Rattus norvegicus: one gene and its partners. The protein of the gene in region 4 binds, or shares a complex with, the protein of the main gene of each other region. Links are inferred from orthologs where the notes say so. Each region holds a gene or a part of one and is shown on either strand. Other genes may lie near its edges.

Region 1 (3,500 bases), about 23 Mb from region 4:
AAGAAAGACAGTTGTGCTGGGTATCACAGTAGCTACCCCAAAGGATGGGATGGCTGGGATGGGGGTAGGAAGGGGCTCGCCAGCTCCCTAAGTCTCGCTCTAGTCACTGAGTGGCACAAAATATACTGATTATAAAGAGAACTGTAAAGAAAAGGTTATTCCTCACGAATAAGGTGCTGGGCTCAAAATCCAGGCCCTCCTCTATTCAAAATAGTTGTATTTCAGTTTCAGAAACTAGAGGTATGAGTCTCATCATTTCGAAACAATGTTTAGAACAATTTAACCCGCTCCTGGGCTTTAAAGACTTTGGTGGGGGCTGGAGAGATGGCTCAGCGGTTAAGAGCACCGACTGCTCTTCCAGAGGTCCTGAGTTCAATTCCCAGCAACCACATGGTGGCTCACAACCATCTGTAAAGAGATCTGATGCCCTCTTCTGGTTATAGTGTACTTATATATAATAAATAAATAAAATCTTAAAAAAAAAAAAAAAAAAAAAAAGACTTTGGTGGCTTACACCAATACCCCCAGAACAACAGGAGGCTAGAGTAGAATAGCCAGAAACTCAGGGCCAGCCTGGGCTACAGCAGGACTGGGAAGATGGTTAAGTATTTGCTGAGTGAGCATGACCACTGGATCCAGAACCCACGAATACGCCAGGTGTGTGCGGTGACCAGATGGTAAGTCCAGCTGCCGAGGCTGGGGTGGGATTCCCAGAGCAATGCAGCTAGCTGGTGCTAACTGTGAGGTAAGCCCAGGTTTGTCGGAGAGACTCTGCCTTATGGAATATGGTAGAGCAATGGAAGATTGTGACATCAAGTTTGGTTCACACGTGCATGTACACACATACGCACCCTATATAAATACGCATGGAAATGGGGGAGAGTAAAAAAAAAAAAATTATCATTGGATGTGGGGCAGAATTAGTGTCTTCATTGAAGTCCTAAGCAGCGCACATGCTCACAGAGTAAGTTGGTAAAGGAATGGCGTGTTGCCGGAGACAGGAGACATAGGTTTTGCTCCGCCACATCAAACGCAAGCTCTTGAAGGCCTCACCTCATGGTGTCACTGAGCCCCTTCTGCACAGAGAATATCTGCTGCTTGTTGACGGCCTGGGAGGCTTGGAAGAGCTGGCAGACTGACTCACTGCAGGCCTTCCCTTCTAGTCCAAGCTGGCTTCCTCCTGCGCAGGCTTTGGCCAAAGCCAGCTGTGGGGAGAGACAAGTGCAGTGTAAGTCCTGGCACGGCACACCTCCGCCCGCCTGAGCCTCATAGCAGCATGGCTCAGATTGCTAGGACTTACTTTTAAACTGAACAAATAAATAAAAACATCTTTATCATCTTTATGTATATGAGTGTTTTGAGACATACGCGTATGTCTGCCCCACGGGCATGTCTGGTGCCCAAGGAGGGCAGAGTAAAGTGTCGGGTTCCTAGAACTGGAGTTACAGGTGATTTTGAGTAACCATGTGGCTGCTGGGAAATGGCGGCAGGTCCTCTCGGAGAGCAGCCAGAGCTCTTAACCACGGAGCATCTCTCCAGCTCCAAGTTTTCTGTTACTAAATGGTGCTTCGATGGTCCTGTTGAGGGTGGACTGAAACATGTCAGCACTCAGGAGACGCTGCCCAGCACCCACGGAGACTTCCGTTAGTCACTGTCAACAACTTTTAGGCTCCATCTGTGTCTTCCTAGGTAACTGTAGCTTGGTGTGTATGTGTATTTATGACCCAGCATCTTTCTTTCCCCACACGGCAACATTACTAGTGTCTCCATTTGGAGTGTTTCTGTCTTTTGAGCATCCTGTGACCGTTCAGTCCCTCCCTGCTGAGTCCACAGAACAGCTGTGGACTTTTGTCTGCACCGATCCAAGGACTCTCTCTGAGGCTCGCGCTCACACGTCACTCGAGACAAACAGGAACTATCGTCACTAAAAATGTCTTGGGTTAGAGAGATGGCTCACTAGGCCGGGATTCAATTCCTACATGGTAGTTCACTGTCTGTAACTCCAGTTCCAAGAGATTTGACACCCTCTTCTGGCCTCTCAGATACCAACGAGGCACAAGGAATGTATATGCAGGCAAACACCCACATACATTAAAAAACAAATAAAACAGATGCTACTCATTACGGACTAAAAAACAGAAAAAAAAAATCAAATAGAACACATTAATCACACAAGTCCCCAATAGCTCATTTAAAACTGTAGCTCCAGATTCATAAACCTCCTGCCTCAGCGTCTTGAAGACAAGGATTAAGCCCCTGTATTTGGCAAATGTTATCTTTTTTTAACTTGCTGCATTTATTTCCTCTTTTCTGAGAATCTGTTATGAATCGCAATGCAAATGTTTCTGGAGATAGAGGTCGGCCATAGATCCACAGGCTGAAAAACCAATTCTTTAGGCATTGTCTTAATCAGTGATTGATGGGGGAGAGCCCAGCCCATTGTGGTCCTAGGATCTACAAGAAAACAGGCTGAGCAAGCCATGAGGAGCAAGCCAGTAAGCAGCACCCCTCCATGGCCTCTGCATCGGCTCCTGCCTCTCCAGGTTCCTGACCTGTTTGAGTTTCTGACTTCCTTCAATGATGAACTAAGGCATGGAAGGGTAGTCAAATAAACCCTTTCCTCCCCAACCTGATTTGGTCATGGTGTTGGTGTTTCCTCACAGCAACAGTTACTCTAAGACTCTCTCTCTCTCTCTCTCTCTCTCTCTCTCTCTCTCTCTCTCTCTCTGTGTGTGTGTGTGTGTGTGTGTGTGTGTGTGTGTGTGTGTGAGTGACGTGTGTGATGTGCATGTGGCAGTCAGAGGACAACTTTGGGGACTCAGCCATATGTCTCTTGCGGATCAAACTCTGGTCATCGGGCTTGGTGGCAAATGTTGAGCCATTTTTTGTAAACCTCCGACATTCTTCTTCGACATGAACACAATGTTCTGTGACGAAGACCAGCCTGCACCATCTGTTGACTTTCAGTTTCTTTCCTAGTGTTTGAGTTATTACTGGCTCCAGGGGTCAGAGATGGCTTAGAAGTTTAGGAAAGCTTACTGATCTCACAGATGACCCAGGTTCAATTCCCGGCAGCCACATCAGGTGGCTCACAACTCCAGTTCCAGGAGATCCAAGGCCCTTTTCTGGTCTCCACCGGCATTGCATGCACATGATACACATACAGACAATCACACACATGTAAATAAGTAAGAAATTAAAATGAAAAGACTCAGCTCCAGGCCTGGACCTGAGCTTCTCTACGTTTCCTGTGCAGAGCCTAGGCAGTCCTGCCCCACAGTTCAGAGGAAAGAGTCCAGAGCTCAAAGTCACCTGTGCTTCCCAGCAGCCCTTGGCGGCGTAGTCCCTGAGTTTCCGGAAGCTGTGGAGGCATCGTCCGGGGTCAGACATCTGTCAACAAGAGAAAGTTATCCTTACACGGACGGCTGTGTTCTGAGAGGCACTCAGAACTGCCCCATGGGTTTCTAATTATCTATTCCCACACTCCTGAGCTGCACTGG
Region 2 (4,144 bases), on a different chromosome or scaffold from region 4:
CTCTACTCTTGGTGTCCAGATTTCATGTACTGGGGTGGCTGAAGGCGGGAGTGTTCTCACGGGAGCCACAGGTTGTGTGTAGTCTTGCTCATCTCGTCAAGTCCTGTTACAGAACAGCTGTGCTCTCCAGCTTTGCTATTCTTCATAATGGATTCATTGCTCTCCATCTTTGTCAGGAATTTCGTGGAAATTCTGTTGTGCTGTCTGTCGGGTGGTGCAGTTTTAGTCTGTCATTATTGATGTGAACGATGAGCTCCTATCGGGGTTGGCATTTATTGTTCTCCTAATCTGTGGGCAGATAACAATTGCCTGACTTCCAGTGGGTTACAGTTTGCCAGTTTGTGGCTTGTTATTTGATGCACTAGCTTAGTTTTGCCTTTTTAAGCTCACTTCCATCCATCCATCCCTCTCTACCTACCTACCTATCATCCACTATCTACCTACCTACCCACCTACCTACCGATCGATTGATCGATTGATCAATTAATCACACCTTTTTTTTTTCTGCCCCCAAGATATTCTAGGCTCATTTTGTACTTTCCTGCCCTACTACCCTGGGAACCACCATTTCTCCAACAAGTATGAAACTTTCCTTTTATAGAAAATGTTATTCAGAAAGCAAGATCCGACTACTAGCCATGCTCAACTATTTTGGGAAGCCTTGTGTTAAATGTGGGGAGAGCTTCTGCTGATGAGCACCCGTTCTGCACATCTCAATGTTCACACCTGTGTTCCTTCTATGGCTGGGACTTCACACTTTATGCCTCTAAATCCAGGCTCAACAGCAAAGGTTTTACTGGTGCTTTTTTTTTTTTTTTTTAATTTACAGCTGTTTTCTTGAACAGAAATCCAGGTTCCATTGCCCTGTGTACTTTCTGACTCATTTTACTCTGTTGTGTACCTGTCTCTGCTCTCACCTCAGCTGTGTGAGGCTCTTTCTGCTCTGCCCGAGGCCACTCCCTTTCCCTCCCTGCTGTGAATCTCTTTCATGCTCTAAATCTCTAGCACCATCTGGCAGGCCACCCTCTACCCGTTCACTTTTCCCTGACTGCTGTCTGGTACACAGAACTGAGCCGTCCCTCTCCCTCCACTTGGCCTTGCAGTGGGACAGCCTGCCTGCTCAGCTTGAGCTGCTCTGACCCGCTCTTCTCGTCAACACCTCTTCACCTCTTCCCACACCCCCTTTCTTTTCTTAAACTTTTTTCCAAGCTCTACAAGATATGGAATGTCTGTCAGATAGTCATCCGGTTGGCTGGAATTCCGTACAAAATTATGTTGTTCCTTCTCTTGCTGAATTTGAGATTTTAGTAAAAAGATGGATACCGTTTTCTTTCATCTTTGACAGATGATGTTCCTGCAGATATGGTTGCAGAAGAATCAGGTCCTGGTGCACAAAACAGTCCATACCAGCTTCGTAGAAAAACTCTTTTGCCAAAAAGAACAGCGTGTCCTACAAAGAACAGCATGGAGGTGACTTAATTGTAATTGTTTTTGTAAGGAAAGAATGGGTCAAAATTTGTGAGAATTATATACAGTGGGAATACTTGACTGACAGTTTCTTCTTGGTTTTGAAGGGCGCCTCTACTTCAACTACAGAAAACTTCGGCCATCGAGCGAAGCGGGCAAGAGTGTCTGGGAAGTCACAAGATCTGTCAGGTACTCCGAGAGGGAAGTAAAGTGAGACGCGTTTCAAAAGTTCATGTTTGAGCCTAGCATAGTAACACATGCCTTCAATCCTGGTATTCAGGAGGCAGAGGCAGGGGATTTCTGAGTTCAAGGTCATCCTGGTCTAGAGAGTATCGGGACAGATAGACAGGGCTTTATAGAGATGATGGTGATGATGATGGTGGCGGTAAGTGAAACTGAAAATTAAATATTATTTGAATATATTGAGTAGTTACTATTAAAAAATACATCAGAACCCTAATCCTTCCCTCTTTAACGTTTTTTAAAATGTATCTTTAATTTTAGTTATGTGTGTGTGTGCTTCTGTGAGGAGATTGTTGTACTTACCTAAATAGCTAGAAGGAGGGCATTCGATTTCCTGGAGCAGGATTTGCAGATGTGGTGAGCTTCAGGTTAGAGGTGCTGAGAACCAAAAAATGGGTCCTCTGCAAGACCAGTACAAACTTAAATGTTGAGCTATCTCTCCAGCCTGTCTTATTTTTATATAAAAGTTTTTTTTAATAGTGCTATGGTGTAGCCATAACACTAGCTAGCTACTTGGGAGGTAAAGGGCTGGGAGCTGGAAAATGAAGTTAAAGAGTAGTGAATTTAAGACCGACCTAGGAAGCTTCGAAAGACTGCCTAAACACAAAACAAACAAAAACAGCTAACACTGTGCATGCGTGTGTGCACATGCTTGTATGTACATATATGTAAGATAAAAGGGAAATACAGGACTGGAAGATGGCTCAGTGGTTAGGAACACTGCTCTTCCCGAGGTCCTGAGTTCAATTCCCAGCAACCACACGGTGGCTCACAACCATCTGTAATGAGATCTGATGCCCTCTTCTGCTGTGTCTGAAGACAGCTACAGTGTACTCATGTACACAAAATAAATAAAATCTTTTTTTTTTAAAAAGGAAATATATCAGTAAAGGCATATGCTGTTTGTTGGTGAGGAAGTCGTTGCTGGTAAATGACTTGTTATGTTCTGTTAATCTCTTTCAGCAGCACCCGCTGAACAGTATCTTCAGGAGAAGCTACCAGATGAAGTAGTTTTAAAAATATTCTCTTATTTGCTGGAACAAGATCTTTGTAGAGCTGCTTGTGTGTGTAAACGCTTCAGTGAACTTGCTAATGATCCAATTTTGTGGTGAGTGAAACCTACTCCTTGTTACCTTGAAGGATGCTGTGTGATGCCAAAACTGCCAGGGAAGGAAGTGGACGTGCGGGCTTCTAGTTATAACAAAGTAATTAAAAGAAAATTAAAATGCTTATAAATTCTGTTGCCTGGTTATCGTAAATGTGGAGAACTTGTTGATCCAAGAAATATTATAAATCAGGAATTATTTCTTTGTTTACAAGTTCATAACAAGCAAGTGATTTGGAAGGGAGTCTTTATGTATGGAGTCGGGTAGAGTACCGCAGACAGAATCTTCTACAGCACAGGGTGGCCGCAGAATGACTACGTAGCTGAGGCTGCCCTTACACTGCCCTCCTGTTTCAGCCTGGGATGCCATTGTATGTCACCACTCCCAACTCATTTTCTTTTTACATTTGGTTTTTGTTTTTATGAAGCAGCATTGGGTTTAACAAACACATCAGTATAGACTTAATGTGTCAGTGTAGAGATGCCCAGAAGTAGGATGTGCCAGGAGCATGGGTGTGACTTTACCAAAGAAGAGGCCGGTGATGCAAGGGTTAGTACAGGCTTCTCCAGGCAGTGCCGCCTCCTGTTTAAAAGCAGAGCTAGTTGGATATGGTAGCTCACACCTGGAATCATCCATCCCTAGCAGAGGGATGCAGAGTTTAAAGCCAGCTTGGCCTACAGAGAGAGTTGCAGGTCAGCCTGGGCTACAGAGTGAGACCACACACTGTGTGTGGTGAGAGTTGGTTTCTGGGCTGGAGAGGATGGTCACTGGTTAAGAACACTGTTCTCACAGTTTGTTCTCAGGACAACCAGTTGTAGGGTTCCAGTATCTTTTCAAGTCTCTGCAGGCACAGCACATATGTAGTGCATATAGATGCAGGCAAAACACACATACTTGGCTGGAGAGATGGCTCAGTGGTTAAGAGCACTGACTGCTCTTCTAGAGGTCCTGAGTTCAATTCCCAGCAACCACATGGTGGCTCACAACAATCTGTAATGGGATCTGATGCCTCTTCTGGTGTGTCTGAGGACAGCCACAGTGTACTCACATACATAAAATAAATTATAAAAAAACCACATACTTTTCTTTTTAACTTTTAAACTTTTTATTGTTTGTTTGAGGCAGGGTTTTTCTGTGTGTAGCCCAGGCTGTCCTGAAACTTCACTCTGTAGACGTAGTGGGCCTAGGGTCTGGATCTGCCTGCCTCTGCCTTCTGAGTGCTGGGATTAAAGACATGTGCCACCACTGCCCACCTTTTTAAAATTAGTCATTTTAAGAAATATTTCGACAGCTGGGTATAGTGCCACACACCTTTACTCCCAGTACTT
Region 3 (3,952 bases), on a different chromosome or scaffold from region 4:
AACTGGCCCGAGTTCAGTCACGGCACTCAGGACGAGCACCTCACACCTGTCTGCACGTAATTCCAGCTACAGGGAATATCCAACATCCATTTCAGACCCCACAGGCACTACACTCGTGTGCCCCCCCCACACACACACACCTATAACAAAATGAAAATAAAGCTTATAAAACTACTAATAAATTTAAAACATACATGAAAAGCCTTTTAAAGTTCAGCATGTTTTTACTGGCTATGACTGCACATTTCTTCAATCTCAGGATTGGTCAGGCAGAGTTTGATGGATCTGAGTTCCAAGCCAGTCAGGGGTACAAAGTGAAACTCGGTATAAAGAAATGGGAGGAGGAGGGTAGGAGACAGAAGAGAGAGGAGGTTGGAAGGAGAGAAGAGCTATTTACTCTGGAAAAATAACACAGAGCAGAAGGCACAGTATACAGCCAACCTTAAGATTTTCTGTGAACTTTTCTTATTTTAAGAAAATTCGGCATCTCCAAGTCCAAACTTCTAAAAACAAGTCAAATAGGTAGCATCTAAAAGACGCCTTGACTTACAAAACGCTGCGCCAGGGGTCTTCGTTTAATTAGCTATCCTCTTCTTTACACTTTTCCCTATGTGGTTCAGAAAAGAAATCTCAGACTTCGGGGTTCTATTTCATAAGTAAATAGTGGTTATGAAAAAGTTATGACTCATTAAAAAAAGCCTTGGAAAAACGGAAATGCAAATGCAAATGCAGTCTTAAGAAATCAGTCGCGATCGAAACGTTAACCACGTTGGTTTATTATTTTTTTTCCGGTGTGCAGACAGCACCTTTGGCCGCGCCCTCTTCGCGGAGGTGGGTCGCTGTCAGCTGATGTTTACGTCCGGTAGGGGTGGGTCGGGTTTTGCAGACACTCCTCTCTCTTCCGCGTCGGCTCCACCGCCCTAAACTTTCCGGGTTTAACCCTGGGAAAGGCCTGGCGCTCCTAGTTAACTCCAACCCGCCCACATTCCGCCCCTAAACAAACTTCTCCAGGGACAGTCCCCGAGACTGGAGCCGCCCGGGCGCGCGCGCGCGCCCAGCCCCCTCGGCCGCGCGCCCGGGCGGGCGGAGACGCGCAGAGGCCAGCGCGCGGCCGCGAGCCCCGGGCGCCATCTTGGATTCTGTAACTGGGCCGAGGCTCGGGGCTCGCTGCTGTTGGCTGCTGTTGGCCGCTGCTCGCCGAGGGCGTCTCGGGCGGCGACGAGGAGGTGCCGGGGCGAAGGACGCAGACTGCGCGGGACAGAGAAAGGAAGCTTTCCGCCCGGGCAGCCGGAGCCGCAAAGGTGGAGCCGCGTCGGCGCCCGCCGCGGGACCAGCGTCTCGGATGCGGGCGGAGCGCGGGGGGCCGCGACGGCGGGAGCGCGGAGACGGGGCCCCGGGAGGCCTCATGTGAGAGCCGCGGGAGCCGCCGCCGCCCGCGCAGCCCGGGGTGGTGTGTGGGGGAAGCCGCCCCCGGCAGCAGGTACGGCGGAGGTTCGGGGCCGCAGCCCGGAGTCCGGCGGGGAGGTCGGCGGCGGCCGGGGGCGCGCGCGGGAACGCCCCGCCTGGACCTCAGTACTTGTCAACAAGGCGTGGCGCGCGCTCGGCGGCCGCGTGTGGCGGGGCTGGGTGACGGGCTCCTCTGGGCTCGCCCTCGGCGGCGCGGGGGCAGGAAGCTGGAAAGCCCGGGGGCCTGGGCAGGGCGGAGGGAAAAGTCTGAGAAAACCGGGTTGGGGAGGCGCCCAGTGGAAAACTTGGCGAACTTAAGTGCAGCCGCTCTGGTCGCACTGCAGACCTCCACCCGGAAGCAGCCAGGTCAGGGCATCTCCGAGCCGCGAGGTGAGAGCGGGCGGCGTCTTGTTGGTATTGGTGCCTATCCCACTTGCCCAGATGTTTTATCTTTTGCTTACACGAAAAGGCTAATTTTAAAATTTTCCCTGAACCCTTTGTAAAGATGTCTGTTACTCTAAAACTCTCACCCGGGTTATCTGTGTGCCGGCTGCCGTTTGTGTCTGTGCTCTCACCATTCTGACAGTTAATCTCTTTCAATATTTTTCGATTCTTATATTACAACCAAAGAATGTATGTTAGGTTTCCTTCCATGTAAAGCAAAACAAAAGGACAAATGCGAACGTAGTGCCAGAATGGGACTTTTAAAGTTTAAGTGCAAATGCGTTTTTTAAAAATCTTTTTATGTCCAGAATTTGTAAATGTCTGAGTAAGGAAAGTTTGACTCTTCATTTTGGTTTGAGGAAATGTTTGATTAGCTCACTAATTCTTGGTACTGCTCACTAGTTACTAGGTGTCCGTCATTACTTTGCCTCCCAGACACTTGATCCGAATACTAGCAAAAGTTCCTGCCACCTTAGTTTCTTTGGGTTCCGGAAACACTGCAGTAAATCACAACCGCTAGGGCCCAGATTTTCTGTGCTTAGAAAATCTTACTGATATTTATTGTCCTGTTTTGATACACCACGCCCCTCCTGTTCAGATAGCAAGAGCACTTTCACTTCTTCTAGAAGCAGTATAAAAACCCATTACTGTAAATCTCTAGTATACTAGTGAATTGTTCAACTTTATACAGCATCGCTTCATGTGTAGATAATTAAAATAAAAGCATCGCAAACTTTGAATTAAAAAGACCAACAAGGAAAAAGCAATATTTAAAACGTTATTAGGTCTTTATTCACTAATGTTACTTTTATACCTAATAGTGCACAGCACATTTTAACATTTAGTCTGTTCATTTTCTATTACTGGTGACATTAGTTTCATACTGCTTATGATAGTCTGTAGACTTTTTAGCTGTTGATAAACTAATAAGTACTAATACATACTTTGATGATCAATGTATTCAGTTTATATTTAGATCAAGTATAACGCTATACTTGATCTTCCTTACTGAAGGTGTTTTTACGTTGTCCGACTTCCTCCTCCCAAAGGAGAGCTGGATTGAAATATACTTGATTTAGGTAGAACTGTGTTGGAAGGCAGAGGCAGTGGATCTCTGATTCCAAGGCTGGCCAGACTCACATAGTGAGCCTGTCTCACATAAAAATTGTATAAACTTAGGGTCAGCAGAGTGCTGTTAAAGTGTGGTGAGTGAGGCTGCCATCCTTGTGTTGGTTTTGAGTCTGTACACTTGACTGTAAACGAAGTGTTTGACCTTTACCTCCTGGCTTTAGAGGATTTCTCCAGATGTGGCAGAGCCTCCTGGCATGAGGTCTGGAAGTAGGAAGATAGTGTCATCTTTTTTGAATCTGTATCTCAGAATTCTGAGCAGTTTTTGTCAATAAGAAAGTTTGAGTTCTAAATAGCAGACTCTTTGTTCTTTGACCCAAATTGAAATGCTAAAATTAAAGTTAAACCTTCAGGAGAAGTTAAAGTTGGAAAGTGGGTCATAATGACAGGCTAACCCCTAGTAGGGCTTTTTTTTTTTTTAATTTTAAAAAATGGCACTGTTAATCATTCTAACTTTATTCTGAACACACTTAAAAGTCTATTCGTAGATTCATAAATAAGTTTGGTTCTTCCATAAAGCCATCTTGTCCCCTCTCATTTTGTTTTCTGAATTCTCCTTTTACTCAAGACTATGCCCTTTTGAGTGTGTGTAGGTGCAGGCACAACAAAGAAGGGGCTGCTCCTCTTTTAAGGCCTCCTGGACTGACAGTGTGGGGTTGTGCCCTCCAAAGTCCTGTTTCTGCTCTCCAGCCCTCGGTGCTAAAGTCTGTACACGTGCAAGTCCTTCATTCCACAGAGGAGCCAGAGTCTTACGTCATGATTTGTCACAAGTTGGTTGGGGTTAAGCCATCCTTTGGAGTCTTGATTGGACCAGCCTTATTAGACTCACTGTCTAAACAATCACCGTAGATCCTGGACTACATAGTAGTACCGAGGAGCGGCCCGGCTTACTCTAGAATGCAGTGTAAATCAAGTAACAAAGCAAAATGTGTCC
Region 4 (4,300 bases):
TTCATCTTCTGTCATCAGCTGTGGCACCTGGCAGACATTGGATACCACAGCCATCAGACAAAGACCTGGTCATTCAAGCCATTGCTTGGCCTCTCTGCCCAGACTTGTCCTGGAGAAACTGTAGGCTCTGGTTTCTTTAGGAGGCCCTGTGTGGAAACGTCTTTTGTCTTTGTGGTGCCAGGAATACCATCATGTGCTCATTGGCTAGGTGAGCCTGGCGCCTTGGTGGGGATAGTGATGCTCCCTAGACACAGCGGGGCAGGGCAGGCAAGTGCCCAGTTCCTGGCTGGGCTGAGGCCAGATGGGTCCTTTCAGACCTCTCCCTTTACTTCAAAGTTGTTTCATTCTAGCGACCTTATCACAGCCTTCTGTGAGCTGCCCATACAGCATAGTCTGTTCAGGTTGGGCTGACTGTCCTGGTTCACTACTGGATGGATTCCCAGCGCGGGCCTCACAGGCCTCACACACAGGCAGAGAGCATGATTACCCGAAGAATATACCCTCCATTCCACATCCCTGTTTTCTCTCTCCAGGCTTGGCGCTTCACTCCAACAATGGCTATTTGGGGTGTGAAAGCCTCTTCAAAGTTCAAAGGTAGGAAATAAAGGTTAAGATTATCCAACAAGGTGGTGCCTGCCTCCCAGCGCTGAGCTATTGGAAACACAGATCTGAATTTAAAGCCAGCCTGGTCTAAATAGCGAGTTCCAAACCTGGTTTATCTAGTAAGACCCTGTTTCAAAACAAAACAAAACAAAACAAAAAGAGTATAAGGCGAGTATATGTGGTGAAAAAAAAAAGCCGGTAATCTCACGAGTTTTAGACCAACCTGGTCTACGCAATGAATTTGCAGTCACTCTGTGCCAAACGAGACCCCGTCTTAAAATGCAAAGAAAATAAAAACTAAGCAGGTGCACCAAGTCAGGAGTATTTAGAGACACCTTGACTCAACATCCGTAATTTTTTAAAGCTCAGTTATCAGTGGAGTAAGGTTCAAGTCCTTAATTCCAGGTCGGAAAAAAAAAAAAAAAACCAAACAAACCAAAAACCCTTATTTCCTTGGGTTATTAGGAGAGTAACAGTGGTCAGGCTGAGGTGACTCCTTTAAAGCACACCCACCCACAACCGGTTTTGCGGTTTGTTCTTTCCAGGCTTTTCAGGACTGGGGTCTTTCAAGCAGTTTAAGACAGCCTCTGCCTGAAAGACCCTTCGGGTCGCGATGGTTCCCCAGCCGGTGCCGGCGTCCGCACGGAAGGAGAGCACGGCGTTGTTCAGGACGGCGGAGTAAAGTGGAAGTCCCCCTCCTGCTCAGCCACCCTTCCACCCATCGCCGCTCAGCACCTCTCCAGGAGACCTCTGCGGCGCCCAGAACCTGCCACCCGCCTTCCGCATGCCGTCAGGCACTCTCAACGGCCAGCCCGGCCGGCTGTGTGACGTCACGAACTCGGGGTCCTCGGTGCCCTCTTCCCGCTCCTATAAAAGCTGACGCCGCGCGGCGCTGCTGTAGTGGCCTTGTTCTCGAGACTTCTATTCGGTTGTGAACTCTGTTCGGCAGCCTCAGGCCTGCGGTCTTGAGACCGAGCACGGTGAGTAGCAGCCCGCGAGCCGGACCAGGTCCTGGAGGGAGGGGCTGGGTGGGAGCCCCGGGTTGGCTGTGGCGTGCACGAGGCGGCGAGTCGGCCTGGCGTGTCCTGAGGCGCTGTGCGGCCCGTTGCCGACCCCGGACCGCGGGAGGCGCGAGGCGGCCGAGTCAGGCCTTCTAGGGCCGCCCATCCTTTCGGCGCTCGCTCGCTGCTGTATCCAGCTCTGTGGCAGGCCTGCTCTTTTGCGGGCGACGTCAGTCGGCCCCGAACGCGGCTGCAAGGCCTAGGCTTCGTCCCGGGCCTGCCTTAGCGACAGGCTTGTTGCTCCGCGCTCCAGGGCGGGTTGGCCGCAAGGCTTTGAGTAGGGGTCCCGGGCCTTCCGGGTGGTGGCGGTCGTTGCCACTCGATACTTAGCTCTCTCCCTTCCTCCTGTATCTGGCGACATTTGCTCCTTACTGGTCTTACCTATTTAACCACCGAATATGCAGGTAACAGGTTCCCGATATTTCTTCGCTTTTTTTTTTTTTTTTGTCACGTCCTGCAGTCTCTGAACTTATTGTAATAGACCTTGTCGTCTGAGGTGTGTGACTTTTAGGAGCCCTTGACGCTAAAACCCAAGGTGTTGGGTTTTTAAGGGATAGTGTTAAAACATGCCTCTTGGCTCACTTTTTCATGGAGTCCTCAGGTTTGGAGACTCAGTTTTTCATCAGAATGTTACAGTAGACTGTGTTGTGGCAAAGAACAATGCACTCCCTTCTGCCCTGCAGTCCAGTAACAAGTGGCAGAATTTCGAGTCACTTAAAACAGGTTTGTTTTTAAAGTCTGTTTTAAGTGTACTAGAATTCTCATGCTAGACTTGGATGGTGGTTTAGTTTCCAAGTCCAGGAGCTTAGAGAACTAAAGAAGGGTTTTTTGAAAGCATATCAAATCGAAATCTCATACATTATTACTTAAAAATTTTGCACTTAATTCCACCACAACAAAAGTGAAGTCTAGGATTACAGAGTGCATTGAATTACAGATTAACTGATTGCCTCCCTGGCTCTCTTGCAAGTAACCTGATACCTAAATTTGACTATGACTAAGCATGTCTTTATTGTGAATTATTTCAAGGAAATATGGAATTGTCTTTTAAAATAACTTTATTAGCCACATAGACTTGTTCCTGAGTGATCATTACAGTGCTGGGGACCATAAAGAGAACATAGTGTTTTGCTATTAAAAGCTGGTCTCTTTAACTTTTATTGTTGCCTTATAAGGAGGGTCTGCTGCTCTGGGCTTCTCTGTTCTGCAGCATATTTGTGAGTTGAAAAGTGAACTCTTGAGTCTTTTCAACCATGGATGATTGTGAAACAAGCTTTATCCCCCCCCCCCCCCCAATTATTGTTTACTTGAGGAATGGGGACAAGTGTCTCAGAAAGCTGAATGAATATTTTAGGAGATACGCCGAGTCTTAAGTGTTTGACCCTTAAATAGGTACAATAGTTATTTTAAGTGCTAACCCTATAACACCCAGGTATTCCTCAGAAGCATAAGACCTGCAGAGTTACATGTGAGTTGGGGATTTTGGTGCCCACCTTTTTTTTTTCTTTTTTCTTTTTTCTTTTTTTCGGAGCTGGGGACCGAACCCAGGGCCTTGCACTCGATAGGCAAGCGCTCTACCGCTGAGCTAAATCCCCAACCCCAGGTGCCCACCTTTAATCCCAGCACTGGAGGCAGAGGCAGGTTGATGGCTGAGTTCAAAACCAGTCCTTGCTACAGAGCAAGTTGCAGGACAGCTAGGGCAACACAGAGGAACCCTGTCTCAAAAACAAACTACTAAAAAAAGTTGCTTATGAAATTTTTTTTTTCTTTTTTTTTTTTGGAGCTGGGGACCGAACCCAGGGCCTTGCGGTTGCTAGGCAAGCGCTCTACCACTGAGCTAAATCCCCAACCCCATGAAATTTTAAAGAGGTCTTGAATTACTCTTTTGGAGTAATGAGGGGGAAATCTGAAGATGATAAATTGCTGGTTTAGAGCTTTTAGTATTAATACTGGTTTGCTTTTGTTTGGTTTTGGTTTTTCCTAAAACTCAAGTCATGTTAGGAGCTAGTTGCTTAATTTTTTTAATATATGAAATTATATTTTTCCTAATGACTTATATTTTATCTCAGTTGATGCATTTTTGGATGGGGGGGTTGTTGAGATCAGTTTTTGAGACAGGGGCAAGAAAACTAGGCTAGCCTTAAATTTATTTTGTATGTATCAAGAAGATGGCCATGAACTCCTAATGCTTCTGTTTGCCAAAATGCTGGGATTGTGGAAATACTTATACTCTGTCTCACCTTTTGGGCAGAGGGAGAGGGCAATATTGCAGATTGAACTAGAGCTTTATACATGTTAGGCATTACACTCAGGAGCTGTATCCCCAGCCTCTTTTATATTTCATTTTAAGCAGGCTCTTAATGAGTTCCACCAAGGCTGGCTTGACCTCATTATGTAACCTAGTCAGTCCTTGAAATTATGATCCTCATCTTTCCAAAAACTGGACTTCACAGGACTGGTTCCTCTGTATATCCCTGACAGTTCTGGAACTCACTGTGTACACTGGCCTTGAACTCACAAAGATGCACCTGTACCTTGACTCCCACGTGCTGGAATTAAAGGCATACAGTATTACCATGCTATTTTAAATTTATATTTGTTTGAGACAGATTCTTATGTAACCCAGACTGGACTTG
Region 5 (3,500 bases), on a different chromosome or scaffold from region 4:
TGTTTGTTTGCTTGCATATGTTTAGTATTCAGTGAATGATTTATTCAGGATGTGGTTTCTGAATTAATGATTTAAAATTTAAAATTGTTTTATTGGCTAAGTTATGTCTTATTGATCAAAACAACTAAACCATCAAGCTTTTAGAGGTTTACGGAAAAAGGTAGTTAAAGGTCTTCAGTATGATTCTTTTTTTGTTTTATAACTTATTTAATCTAAAACTTATTTGTTACTAACGAGTGTGTGAATGCTTTCCACGATCTTAATTATACTTAGACTATAGGCATATGACACAAAAGTGGACAACAACAAAGATGGTACAAATCTTGTTTATCCCCCTTTTCCTCCTACAGAATGTGAAAATCTTTGCATCTTCTGATAGTCTAGCCAAGGTCCAAGAAGTAGCAAGCTGGCTTTTGGAAATGAATCAGGAACTGCTCTCTGTGGGCAGCAAAAGACGACGAACTGGAGGCTCTCTGAGAGGGAATGCTTCCTCAAGCCAGGTTGATGAGGAGCAGATGAATCGCGTGGTTGAGGAGGACCCACAGCAGCAGCCGAGACATCAGGAGGAGGAGCACACTGCGCGGAATGGTGAACTTGTGGGTGCAGACCCTAGGCCTGGAGCCCAGAACGATTCCCAGCAAGGACAAGTGGAAGAAAATAATAACCGCTTTGTTTCAGTAGATGAGGACTCTTCGGGAAACCAGGAAGAGCAGGAGGAAGATGAAGAACATGCTGGGGAACAGGAGGAGGAGGAGGAAGAAGAGGAGGAAGAGGAGGAGGAGGAGGAGATGGACCAGGAGAGTGATGATTTTGACCAGTCTGATGACAGTAGCAGGGAAGATGAACATACTCACAATAGCAATGTCACAAACTGCACTAGTGTCGTGGACCTGCCCATCAACCAGCTCTCCTCCCCATTCTATACCAAGACAACAAAGGTGAGTATCTTCATTCCCCTCCACCGGATATGCTCCCTCACTATTTCAGTCATAGTGACCTCATCCTTACAGTCTGTAGTGCGGCCACTAGTCCTCACATGTAGAGCACTTCATTAATGATGTGAAGGCTCCAGTGTTATAAATAGAGATACTGATAAGAAGGCAACTTAATTGCAAAACGGGGTGGTGGTGGTGGTGGTGGTGGTGGTGGTGATGGAGGTGGTGATGGAGGTGGTGGTGGTGGTGGAGGTGGTGGTGGTGGTGGTGGTGGTGGTGGTGATGGAGGTTGTGGTGGTGGTGATGGAGGAGGAGATTGATGTTGTTTACCACAAAAAACCAAATCACCAGCTTCCGGTTTGCTGCCAGAGTGGTTTGGGTGAGTGTGCAGGGTTGGTGTGAAACATGACGTGTGTAAATAAAGTAATGAATTTTATTTGCAAAATAGCTAATGTATCACTGGCTGTGTTTTCACAAGAGTTAACCTAAAGTGTAAATCAGTGGAAGTCACAGCAACTAAGTCTGCTGTGTTTTCAGAAGTTAGATGTGGCTTGTGGGTGCCAAGTAGAATAGCCTTGTGTTAACCTGTTGTAGGGATTGTGTTTAAGTAATAGGTGACTTGTTTTACACACATAGAAATGGTCTGTAGCACACACCCCTTTACTCCTCATTTGCTGACTTTTAAATTTAACAATGAATCATTGGATTTTGCCCATAAATACCTATAAATTTAACAGTATTGCTTTTAGTGTGCTTTGACTCAGATTGTAGTGTCTCATACAATTGGCTTAAATTTCAATTTGCTTTATCAGTTTTGTTTTAGGTTGTTAAAAAAAAAAACGATGACAGAGAGCATGTCCATCTCTAATTTTCATGCCCGGCACATGACTTTACTTACTGGTTGGCATGACCTCAGAGAGCATGTCTATGTCTAATTTTCATGCCGGGCACATGACTTTACTTACGGGTTGGCGTGACCTAGGAAGGAAATGTCATCGGGTGTGGTTTTCTCTCACTGAACTCTCAAGGTAGAGGATCTTGGTCTGGACTAACTCTTAGTGTCTCACCCCCGTTCTTTTCATCTCCATAGCAGCAATTTAGAAAATCCTCTAGCACCTGGAGGGCAGGGCAGGAAGATCATGAATTCAAGGCAGAAGACATTGCCTCAACTACTCAAAAGATGGTTTTAAAGTTTCCTGTATTGTATTAAGAAGACTTCACATGCCCAGCTCTAGTAATAGGAGAAATTTGTACTGATTCCTTTTGGAGACCCTTACATCTTTGATCACTATAAAAACAAAATGTACAGTGTCCTGGGCTGCAGTTTGGTTTCAGTCCTTTGAAAGGAGCAGGGACTGAGATGAAAACCCTGGCTTAGAGTCAGGTGTGGTGGCACACAAGTCTCAACCCGGGGCAGGAAGGTTGTTGCAGATTTCAGGCCGGCCTGGGCTGTCTGGTGAATGTGAGTCAGGGATAGGCTGTTCAGAAGACTTGAAAGGAAGAAAACACCTTCCACTTTCTCAGTGCTTCCTCAGCGTGTCTATATCCATGTAGACAGACGTCTCCATGAGCCTTGACGGCAGCCAGACTTAATGTGTCATTCCCCAGTATTTCTACATCACCGAGGAAAAGCGTGTTGTCTACAGAACATAGCGGACACTGTCGAACTAAGGACAATCTGCTCCCCTTGGTCACTGAGCTTCCCTTTTTGCAAATGTAGAGAAGATAGCATGTTTTGATTAGAGAAGTGGGCGGGCACCCTTAAGTGGTGAGTGGGAACAGTGGCCAGTGTGTTAAGGGAGACTTTATACTAGTTTTTAGCATTTCTGAACTCCTGACAGGTTTTTGAGGTGCTTTCTGTGTAGGTGATTGGCAGACCTGTTTGGGTTAACTCTTAGTTGTAGGGAACAGTCTCTGTTCTTTGTAAGAAAGGCGTGTTTCCTCTTGAGAACAAAGACTACCCCAATCCCATTAAGTTTTGTTCTTAAGGGAACATACAGTAAACAGTATAGATTATATTAGATACTAGATAAACAGATTCTAAATTCTAATATTAAAGGTCAAGGCTAATGGTAGTTGATATTGCTGTTTATTAAATACAAACCGTTTGCACATTCCTGAAATAGATAAGTGAACAGGTTATAGAGAGCCAGTGGTTCACTCCACACCACCCTTTGTTTAGATTTTTTTTCTATTTTTTCCTCCCTCCCTCCCTCCCTCCCTCCCTCCCTCCCTCCCTCCCTCCCTCCCTTCTTTCTTTCTTTCTTTTTCTTTCTTTCTCTTTCTTTCTTTCTTTCTTTCTTTCTTTCTTTCTTTCTTTCTTTCTTTCTTTCTTTCTTTTTCTTTCTTTTTCTTTCTTTCTCTTTCTTTCTTTCTTTCTTTCTTTCTTTCTTTCTTTCTTTTCCTTCCTTTCCTTCCTCTTTCTTTCTTTCTTTCTTTCTTTCTTTCTTTCTTTCTTTCTTTCTTTTTCTTGGAGCTGGGGACCGAACCCAGGGCCTTGTGCTTTCTAGGCAAGCGCTCTATCACTGAGCTAAATCCTCAACCCCTATTTTTCTTTTCTTGAGA
Region 6 (4,256 bases), on a different chromosome or scaffold from region 4:
CCCATTGGTCCTTTCCTGTTCCCAGCTGTCCTCCTTCTACTTCTGTATCTTTGGGGCTTCTTAGGTCACTAAGTTAGAAATGAGTAAAGAATGCTTTTCCTGTCCTGGACAGAGTGGACTTGGGTACCACTGAGACAACTTGGGTTACTGAAACACATTCAAGTTAGTAAAGCCTGACTAAAACCCAAAGCATAAATATCTCACTTCACCAAAACACTGATAATGTACTAGACAGTCCTATCAATGACATTAACTCTTCCCAAATAAATACTTGAGTCATTTCGCCCAGGGGAAGGAGGGTTGAGATATCAAAGTACTAGCTGAGAGTGAAGGAGATTTTGTTCTTCAGGAGTTTGGGTCTTCAGATAATTACCAAGGTGGGAGCTGAGGCAGCTATGAGTATATTACATTGGTCATCCTGTGTGCACATTATAGAGTATTTATCACCACAACCCTAGGGTGTGTATTAATCTCTCTATCCAGTGTGTAAACTGAAACAGATAAGGCGTCATCTAGTGGTAAATAGAAAAATAGACATTGACTCTACCACTACCTTATTTTGGGACCCAAGTTCTTTGCCTGCAGGAAATAGCGACAGATCTTCAGTGGTGTGAAGCAGAATCATTTTCTGATGTTTGCAGATGCCTTTGTCCTTTCAGATGCTTGACTCTGTTTTTCATTCTGCTTCCTGGAGCTGTTGTGTTCCTGGAATCAAGTCCCAATACAACAGCACAATCTAGACAGTAGATGTCGCCTGGTGACCTTTTACTGAGAAGGATCTCTTAAACAGGGCTGGAAATTTCAAAGCACGGAATGCTTTTATTTCCTAAATATGATAAATGGCAAGGAAAATTCACCTGATGGTTTTAGCGCAAATTATAATACAATCAATGTCCACAAGTCTCCCTTCATTGCTACAACACATACCCTAACATCATTAGGAATAAATTTCTCACCCTAGACTATTTGAAAAGAGGGGAGCAAAACGAGAAGACAGAGGGATGGGAAATGGGCATATGTCAAGCATACTGTGCAATTAATATATGTTAACAAAAACAGTGCCAGGATCTTTCACCCGGATTTTAAAGAACTATCAGTCTTGTGGGAAGATCCCTCTAGAAAAGATAGTAACTCCTCTCCCATCCAGACCTCTTCTCCCAGATGCTCCCAGGTTTGAAGTAAAGACCAGTGTCAAAGGTCGATATCCTGTAGATTACAGTCTGTTAAAGGTGACAAGGAGGCCTTAGAGAGACTGCACCCAAGAAGACATTAACTGAGTTTTCCTTTGCCTGTGGCCTGAAGTCAGTTTCTGGCACCTCTGACCACTCTCCTCCCACTCTCTGCCCAGTCTCCGCCCTATCTGCCTCCAAGGCTTGCCAGTCAACTCCCTGTTCCTCCCCTTGCTCCTCCCTCTTCCTTCTAAGCTTACCTCTGAGAGGAAACTGAAAGTGAAATTAGACTGCGGGCTTGCAAAAGTGAAGCTGAAAACAGCCTAGCCAAGTCTGAGGACCCTGGTAAGGTGAGTGAGGATGGGACCCCTGGCCAGACTAGATGGGCTCCCCCCACCCCACCCCAATGCCACAGATTCAAGGAGCCGCTTCCCACTAGCGCCCTACACACGGAATTTCCTAGCCCACCTGCTGCTTCTCTTCAGCGGAGTTCTCTAGTCCCAACCCTGCCAGGCTGCCCGTGCTTCCCTGTGAAAGCTGGTCTCTGAAATTGACTTTCCTAGTGCCATGAGCAGGAGAAGCAGGGCGGTGACCTAGTCCGGGAGGGAGAGGGGAGGGGGGAACTCGGGGAAACCCCAGCCCCTTGAAGACCCTCGATTGAGGAGAGTGCTAGCCACTTAGAAATTTCAGTGGGTTTAAGATACTCAGCACCCTAAAGGAAGTTGAGAGAAGTACTAGGCTTGGAGGAGCTTAGAGAAGAGCCCAGGGAGTGCTCCCCACAAATGTCAATAGATGAGCATACATACATATTCTGTACATAGACATTTAGATAGAGGAACGTATGGGCATGCCTACATTGATGCATTTGTGCTCAAGTGTAGCTTACAATGGAACATATCAGGGTAAATAAAGACATCAATTTGTGTGTGTGTGTGTGTGTGTGTGTGTGTGTGTGTGTGTGTCTGACACACACACACACACACACAAGCCTAATAACTGGGAAATATACTCTTAGATGATGTACTCAGGATAATGAATGCACATCTTGAAGTTTTTTTATTGGATTTTTTTTTATTTTTATTTCAAATGTTATCTCTTTCCTGTTTTCTCTTCCATAAACCCCCTATTCCACCTCCCCTCCCCCTTCTTCTATGATGGTGTTCCCCCGCCCACCCCTTACCACCCGCCTGCCCAGACATTTCCTACACTGTGATGTCAATTCTTGGCAGGACCAAGGGCTTCCCCTCCCATTGGTGCCCCAAAAGGCCATCCTCTGCTACTTATGCAGCTAGAGCAATGGGTCTGTCCATGTGTACTCTTTGGGTGGTGGTTTAGTCCCTGGGAGCTCTGGTTGGTTGATATTGTTCTTCCTATGGGGTTGCAAGCCCCTTCAGCTCCTTCCATCCTTTCTCTAACTCCTCCAAAGGGGACCCCACTCTCAGTTCAATGGTTGGCTGTGAGCATCTGCCTCTGTATTTGTCATGCTCTGGCAGAGCCTCTCAGGAGACAGCTATTTCAGGTTCCTGTCAGCATGCACTTCTTGGCATCAGCAATATTGTCTAGGGTTGGTAGCTGTATGTATATATGGTCTGGATGCCCAGGTGGGGCAGTCTCTGGATGGCCTTTCCTTCAGTCTCTGCTCCAAACTTTGTCTATATATTTCCTCCTATTAATATTTGTGTTCCTTCTTCTAAGAAGGACTGAAGCATCTGCACTTTGGTCGTCCTTCTTGAGCTTAATGTGATCTGTGGATTGTATCTTAGGTAACCCAAGGTTTGGGCTAATATCCACTTATCAATGACTGCATACCATGTATGTTTTTACTGATTGACTTACCTCATTCAGGATGATATTTTCTAGTCCAATCTATTTGCCTATGAATTTCATGAAGTCATTGTTTTTGATAGCTGAGTAGTATTCCATTGTGTAGATGTACCACATTTTCTGTATCCATTCCTCTGTTGAAGGGCATCTGGGTTCTTTCCAGCTTCAGGCTGTTATAAATAAGGCCGCTATGAACATAATGAAGCATGTGTCCTTGTTATATGTTGAAAAATCTTTTGGGTGTATACCCAGGAGTGGTATAGCTGGGTCCTCAGGTAGTACTATGACAGTTTTCTGAGGAACCTCCAGACTGATTTCCAAAATGGTTGTAATAGCTTGAAATCTCACCAACAATGGAAGAGTGTTCCTCTTTCTCCACATCCTCGCCAGCATCTATTGTCACCTGAGTTTTTGATCTTAGCCATTCTGACTGGTGTGAGATGTAATCTCAGGGTTGTTTTGATTTGCATTTCCCTGATGACTAAGGATGTTGAACATTTCTTTAGGTGCTTCTCAGCCATTTGGTATTCCTCAGTTGAGAATTCTTTGTTTAGCTCTGAACCCCATTTTTGATAGGGTTATGTGGTTCGCTAGAGTCTCACTACTTGAGTTCTTTGTATATATTGAATATTAGCCCTCTATCAGATGTAGGATTGGTAAAGATCTTTCCCAATCTGTTGGTTGCCATTTTGTCCTAATGACAGTGTCCTTTGCCTTACAGAAGCTTTGCAGTTTTATGAGGTCGCATTTGTTGATTCTTGATCTTAGAGCATAAGCCATTGGTGTTTTGTTCAGGAAATTTTTTCCAGTGCCCATGTGTTCGAGACTCTTCCCCACTTTTTCTTCTCTTAGTTTGCGTGCATCTTATTTTATGTGGAGGTTCCTGGTTCACTTGGACTTGAGCTTTGTACAGGGCAATAAGAGTGGATCAATTTGTGTTCTTCTACATGAGGACCTCCAGTTGAACCAGCATCATTTGCTGAAAATGCTATCTTTTTTCCATTGGATGGTTTTGGTTCCTTTGTCAAAAATCAAGTGCCCATAGGTGTGTGGGTTCATTTCTGGGTCTTCAATTCTATTCCACTGGTCTATCTGTCTGTCTCTGTACCAATACCATATACTTTTTATCACCATTGCTCTGTAATACTGCTTGAGGTCAGGGATGGTGATTCCCCCTGAAGTCCTTTTATTGTTGAGGATAGTTTTTGCTATCCTGGGTCTTTTGTTATTCCAAATGAATTTGCAAATTGTTCTGTCTAACTC
Region 7 (3,500 bases), on a different chromosome or scaffold from region 4:
GTGATTGAGGGGTATTTCAGTTAGTCAGTTTATTGAGTCGTCTATAGTTGAGAGATGGGAGACAGGATGATGTAAAGTCATGGTACTTGCCTCCAGCCTGTGATAGAGCCTACAGGTGATGTGTGTAAGTGAGAGACTTTGGGTGGGAGTAGCTTATAGCATTTGTATAACATGTGTAAAGCCCTGGGTTTAGTCTCCCACACTATAAAAGATAATTCATACATGAAAGTTAATTGTGTTGCACAGTTTTGGTCCACCCAAAGTACAATATGAGGGATGGTCTGGGAATGGATAAAATTTATCCCTACTGTTAAATAAATAGAGGTACGGTAGAACTTAGACTACGTAATGTCTTTGTTTGAGGTACATAATTAGAATTGCTGTAATAGAGATTCACAGTGATGTTTGAAAGTATAGGGGAGGAAGACAGATTGTGTCTTTGATGTTACTTTAGGTAATTTTAAAAAGATCCTACAATAGTGAAAATTTATAGATGAGAAATCTTAAGAAGTTTCTGTTCATAAAGCTATGATAAGCTGGTCTGATGGAAGAGCTGTATGTGTAGGAAATAACTACAATGATTATTGCTTTGTTAGTGAGAGTGTTTTGGGCTTTATGAATTGAAGAGGACCCATTTTGGTATAGTTTTAGGAGTTTGGAAATTCGTTTAATAAGACAGACTAATTTAGTTAGCCTCAGTCATATGCTTTTCTGTGGCAGGCAGTAGAATGTAACTGTAGTTGGTTTTAAGTAAATAAAGCATACTCAGACAGGGAGGGCCACGGAGAAAAGAATGAATTATGAATAAAAATGTAGTGTAATAAATAATGTTTGCTGAAGTGCTTTTTAGTGATACACATATTGTCTAAGTAAAAGAAGAATTTGAGGTATTTATAAAATATTCAAAGTTGGTAAAATATTTAGTAATTACTCTTCACATAGTTTTCTTTTAACCACTATATGCAATTTTATTTTAAATAAATCTTCAACATATTAAGCTGCTTTATGGTTCAAGACATTCAAGTTAGGTGTTTAGGTAAGTATAGTAAAGATAGAATCTTGAAAAGTGAAACATATTTTAGGCCTACATACAGTGTGTTTTCTTTTTATTAAATTGGAATTGTAAGAAAAGTTCTTTTCCTTAATTTTGGGGCTTGAACTCAGGTCTTCACCCATCCTATAAAAACAGTCTTCTGACAGGCTAATCCTGTGGTTTTTTGTTTGCTGTTAGAGAAGTATCTTGTTATATCCAAGCTCTATAAAAATTACTAAGTGCAAAAGGCCATGCTTCTGTTTAACTTCTTACGAGCTAAGGTGTCTTCATAATGATAAGGTTAATGGAGTTGTTTCACATCTAGCTGTGTCTTTTTTAATTAGGTAGAATAACTGATGTTACTTTTAAAAAAAGCCAAAAATTTGTAGATCATTTAATTCCTTCTCTTGAATAAGTTTTACAGTTCTTTGACTATTCAGAACTTTTTCTTGTTTCCAGAAAGTGAATGGTTTGCAAAAGTGAGGATAGTATAGAGTTTCATATTTAGTATTTTGATGCATCCTTTTGGTGGCCTACTTATAATTGGTGTATAGTTCTTAGATGTTTGAATTCATTTTACAGAAGAGTCTGCAGAGGAATCGGTTGCTATCAGCATTGCACAAATGGAAAAACGTTTACTCCATGGCTTAATTCATAATGTTCTGCCATATGTTGGTACCTCTGTAAAAACTTTAGTGTTAGCATACAGCTCTGCAGTCTCCAGCAAAATGGTATGTACAAATGAACCCTAGCTTGAGCATTAAGAAAAATAGCAGTCAGACAACTTTGGTTTGCTTATTAATGCTTATTTAAGAAGGAGAATCGAGTGTCTTCCCATGGATAGGAATGCACTGTTTGTTTTCATATCATTTCATTTCTTAGGGTACTGTAGCGTAGGAACCTTGCCTGTGTCATACATAAGGGAACTAAAACTAGTCAGCTAAGCATTTACGTGAATTTGTAGATGTTATGTGTTGAGTTTACTTCTATATGGTTGATTATAACATGTAAGGCATGGCAAGATGCACAAGTGAGATGAACTAGTTTTATAAAATTATGACTTCCTACATGCAATCTCCTTGAGTATTCCTTTAAGAGGGTGATTTTTCTGGGTCTAATTTCTAAGAATCTTTAAGACAATTACTAGAATTGTGGGCCCAAGAATTGGAGAGGTAAAAGGCACATTTGGTAAAGTGCCTTTTGTGCAAGCATAAGAACCTGAGTTTGCATCCCCAGAATGTAGATGTGTGTACAGTGGCATGTGTCTGTAACCACGGTGCTGGCGGCCAGGGGAAATGGGGGCAGAGGCAGCAGATTCCTGGTACTCATTGTGCAACTACACCAGCAGAACCTAGAGTTCAGTAAGAGATGGTGTCTCAGAAAATTAGATGGAGGAAGACACACTGGATTAACTTCTGGCATCCACACACACCACACCAGAATGTAACTATTTTAATGTGTTCTTTGAGTGATTTTTTTTCTTTCAGTATGCATGTATAGGAAAAACCAGTGTATTATAGTTATCATTGTCTGTTACTTGTCTAACTGAAGTTTCTCCACAGGTCCTCACAATGGCTTTCCTTTCCTTTTTAGGTTAGGCAGATTTTAGAGCTTTGTCCTAATCTGGAACATCTGGATCTTACCCAGACTGACATTTCCGATTCTGCATTTGACAGGTTATTTATTTTAAATATCTAAATATAATAAATAAAATAAAACAAAACTAGCAAAATTTGCCTATTTTCATGTTTACATAATTGTTATTTACTACTCCTACTCTGTGTTGCTGCTGAATCCCTGCCATATATGGTGGTAACTTAATAGAATCCTCCCAAGTCTTTTCCTTTGTTTACAGGCCCAGAACATCAGTACTGCCATCTGTATGTCTCACCTAGGCTTACTAAGCTTGCTTTATAATTGCTGTGTAGATCAGTATTACTATTCTCAAGGTTTTATTTCAGTTTTTCAGTGTCTTTTGGCAGAACTCCCTTTTCATTTAATTCATTGTTTTTTGGTTCAGTACCAGTCTGTTCAAACCAGGTAATTGATTCTTCCTTAGAGACCACTAGGTTTCTTATTATTTTAGTTCCCCTTTCTTCACAGTTCTGACATACCCTATTTCAGAGGGAAGACAGGGTCTTTACCTGTCTCCAGTGTTCATTTCTTTTTTATTTTCATTATGCTGTAGCAGCTCTTTTATGTGTGTGCTACCTCCCCTCCAAGTGCTTACTTTTAGTACAGGAAACGAAGTCTTTCCTATCCATTTCTTTCTTTTCCACCCCCCCCCCTTTTTTTTTTTGGTTTTTTTTTTCGGAGCTGGGGACCGAACCCAGGGCCTTTCGCTTCCTAGGCAAGCGCTCTAACCACTGAGCTAAATCCCCAGCCCCTCCACCCCCCCTTTTTAAATGACTTGCCTTAGGTTTTTTTTTTTTTTTTCCTTCTTTTTATTTCCAGCACTTAAAATATT

What was found.
Region 1: the proteins of Skp1 (region 4) and Ccnf are in contact, whole or in part, in a cryo-EM structure (PDB 9CB3), measured with the Homo sapiens proteins. The link is inferred for Rattus norvegicus from reciprocal best matches to the Homo sapiens genes SKP1 and CCNF. Residues at the interface, in NP_733779.1 of Homo sapiens: Arg81, Asp83, Gly98, Phe101, Ile104, Leu105, Asn108, Leu116, Asp117, Cys120, Lys121, Val123, Ala124, Ile127, Lys128, Pro132, Arg136, Phe139, Ile141, Asp144, Phe145, Val153, Asn157, Trp159, Cys160; in NP_001752.2 of Homo sapiens: Leu30, Thr31, Ile32, Leu35, Val39, His42, Ile43, Trp46, Leu47, Glu50, Asp51, Leu53, Ala54, Val55, Ala57, Val58, His59, Ser60, Gly86, Asn87, Ser300, Val301.
Region 2: Skp1 (region 4) and Fbxo11 share a complex: the UniProt entries of both Homo sapiens proteins name them as parts of the SCF(FBXO11) complex. The link is inferred for Rattus norvegicus from reciprocal best matches to the Homo sapiens genes SKP1 and FBXO11.
Region 3: the proteins of Skp1 (region 4) and Fbxl3 are in contact, whole or in part, in a crystal structure (PDB 4I6J), measured with the Homo sapiens proteins. The link is inferred for Rattus norvegicus from reciprocal best matches to the Homo sapiens genes SKP1 and FBXL3. Residues at the interface, in NP_733779.1 of Homo sapiens: Gln97, Leu100, Phe101, Ile104, Leu105, Asn108, Leu116, Asp117, Cys120, Lys121, Val123, Ala124, Ile127, Lys128, Gly129, Lys130, Pro132, Ile135, Arg136, Phe139, Ile141, Lys142, Asn143, Asp144, Phe145, Thr146, Glu149, Glu150, Val153, Arg154; in NP_036290.1 of Homo sapiens: Asp35, Trp36, Gly37, Leu39, Leu40, Ile43, Gln46, Val47, Tyr50, Leu51, Leu53, Leu54, Asp55, Ala57, His58, Ala59, Ser60, Gln61, Val62, Cys63, Arg64, Trp66, Asn67, Phe70, Glu82, Lys92, Ala93, Thr94, His95, Glu97.
Region 5: the proteins of Skp1 (region 4) and Fbxw7 are in contact, whole or in part, in a crystal structure (PDB 2OVP), measured with the Homo sapiens proteins. The link is inferred for Rattus norvegicus from reciprocal best matches to the Homo sapiens genes SKP1 and FBXW7. Residues at the interface, in NP_733779.1 of Homo sapiens: Gln97, Leu100, Phe101, Ile104, Leu105, Asn108, Leu116, Asp117, Cys120, Lys121, Val123, Ala124, Ile127, Lys128, Gly129, Lys130, Thr131, Pro132, Ile135, Arg136, Phe139, Asn140, Ile141, Lys142, Asn143, Asp144, Phe145, Thr146, Glu149, Gln152; in NP_001336727.1 of Homo sapiens: Pro274, Phe276, Gln277, Arg278, Asp279, Phe280, Ile281, Leu283, Leu284, Pro285, Leu288, Tyr291, Val292, Leu293, Phe295, Leu296, Pro298, Lys299, Asp300, Leu302, Gln303, Ala304, Ala305, Gln306, Thr307, Cys308, Arg309, Tyr310, Trp311, Arg312.
Region 6: Skp1 (region 4) and Trim21 share a complex: the UniProt entries of both Homo sapiens proteins name them as parts of the SCF(SKP2)-like complex. The link is inferred for Rattus norvegicus from reciprocal best matches to the Homo sapiens genes SKP1 and TRIM21.
Region 7: the proteins of Skp1 (region 4) and Fbxl5 are in contact, whole or in part, in a cryo-EM structure (PDB 6VCD), measured with the Homo sapiens proteins. The link is inferred for Rattus norvegicus from reciprocal best matches to the Homo sapiens genes SKP1 and FBXL5. Residues at the interface, in NP_733779.1 of Homo sapiens: Phe101, Ile104, Leu105, Asn108, Leu116, Asp117, Cys120, Lys121, Val123, Ala124, Ile127, Lys128, Gly129, Lys130, Pro132, Ile135, Arg136, Phe139, Ile141, Asp144, Phe145, Glu149, Val153, Arg154, Glu156, Asn157, Gln158, Trp159, Cys160; in NP_036293.1 of Homo sapiens: Ile205, His207, Leu208, Pro209, Val212, Ser215, Ile216, Tyr219, Leu220, Gln223, Glu224, Cys226, Arg227, Cys228, Ser229, Gln230, Val231, Ser232, Met233, Trp235, Ser236, Lys240, Trp245, Arg315, Leu316, Gly319, Leu320, Asn323, Val324, Tyr327.

The regions. Positions count from the first base shown.
Region 1 is NC_086028.1:13,770,170-13,773,669, forward strand, and holds part of Ccnf (cyclin-F), read right to left. Parts: intron 3,391-3,500; coding exon 3,313-3,390; intron 3,237-3,312; exon of another isoform or gene 3,181-3,236; coding exon of another isoform or gene 3,040-3,180; intron 1,206-3,039; coding exon 1,054-1,205; intron 1-1,053. UniProt on the Homo sapiens protein: Substrate recognition component of a SCF (SKP1-CUL1-F-box protein) E3 ubiquitin-protein ligase complex which mediates the ubiquitination and subsequent proteasomal degradation of target proteins.
Region 2 is NC_086024.1:12,290,598-12,294,741, forward strand, and holds the start of Fbxo11 (F-box only protein 11), read left to right. Parts: upstream 1-1,344; 5' UTR 1,345-1,345; coding exon of another isoform or gene 1,346-1,362; coding exon 1,363-1,470; intron 1,471-1,574; coding exon 1,575-1,656; intron 1,657-2,673; coding exon 2,674-2,818; intron 2,819-4,144. UniProt on the Homo sapiens protein: Substrate recognition component of a SCF (SKP1-CUL1-F-box protein) E3 ubiquitin-protein ligase complex which mediates the ubiquitination and subsequent proteasomal degradation of target proteins, such as DTL/CDT2, BCL6, SNAI1 and PRDM1/BLIMP1.
Region 3 is NC_086033.1:86,338,588-86,342,539, reverse strand, and holds the start of Fbxl3 (F-box/LRR-repeat protein 3), read left to right. Parts: upstream 1-1,152; 5' UTR 1,153-1,301; intron 1,302-1,346; exon of another isoform or gene 1,347-1,480; intron 1,481-1,739; exon of another isoform or gene 1,740-1,836; intron 1,837-3,952. UniProt on the Homo sapiens protein: Substrate-recognition component of the SCF(FBXL3) E3 ubiquitin ligase complex involved in circadian rhythm function. Plays a key role in the maintenance of both the speed and the robustness of the circadian clock oscillation.
Region 4 is NC_086028.1:36,901,408-36,905,707, forward strand, and holds the start of Skp1 (S-phase kinase-associated protein 1), read left to right. Parts: upstream 1-1,500; 5' UTR 1,501-1,583; intron 1,584-1,621; exon of another isoform or gene 1,622-2,062; coding exon of another isoform or gene 2,063-2,068; intron 2,069-4,300. UniProt on the Homo sapiens protein: Essential component of the SCF (SKP1-CUL1-F-box protein) ubiquitin ligase complex, which mediates the ubiquitination of proteins involved in cell cycle progression, signal transduction and transcription.
Region 5 is NC_086020.1:172,534,738-172,538,237, forward strand, and holds part of Fbxw7 (F-box/WD repeat-containing protein 7), read left to right. Parts: intron 1-350; 5' UTR 351-419; coding exon 420-938; intron 939-3,500. UniProt on the Homo sapiens protein: Substrate recognition component of a SCF (SKP1-CUL1-F-box protein) E3 ubiquitin-protein ligase complex which mediates the ubiquitination and subsequent proteasomal degradation of target proteins.
Region 6 is NC_086019.1:166,396,572-166,400,827, reverse strand, and holds the start of Trim21 (E3 ubiquitin-protein ligase TRIM21), read left to right. Parts: upstream 1-1,456; 5' UTR 1,457-1,519; intron 1,520-4,256. UniProt on the Homo sapiens protein: E3 ubiquitin-protein ligase whose activity is dependent on E2 enzymes, UBE2D1, UBE2D2, UBE2E1 and UBE2E2.
Region 7 is NC_086032.1:71,542,099-71,545,598, forward strand, and holds part of Fbxl5 (F-box/LRR-repeat protein 5), read left to right. Parts: intron 1-1,615; coding exon 1,616-1,764; intron 1,765-2,626; coding exon 2,627-2,709; intron 2,710-3,500.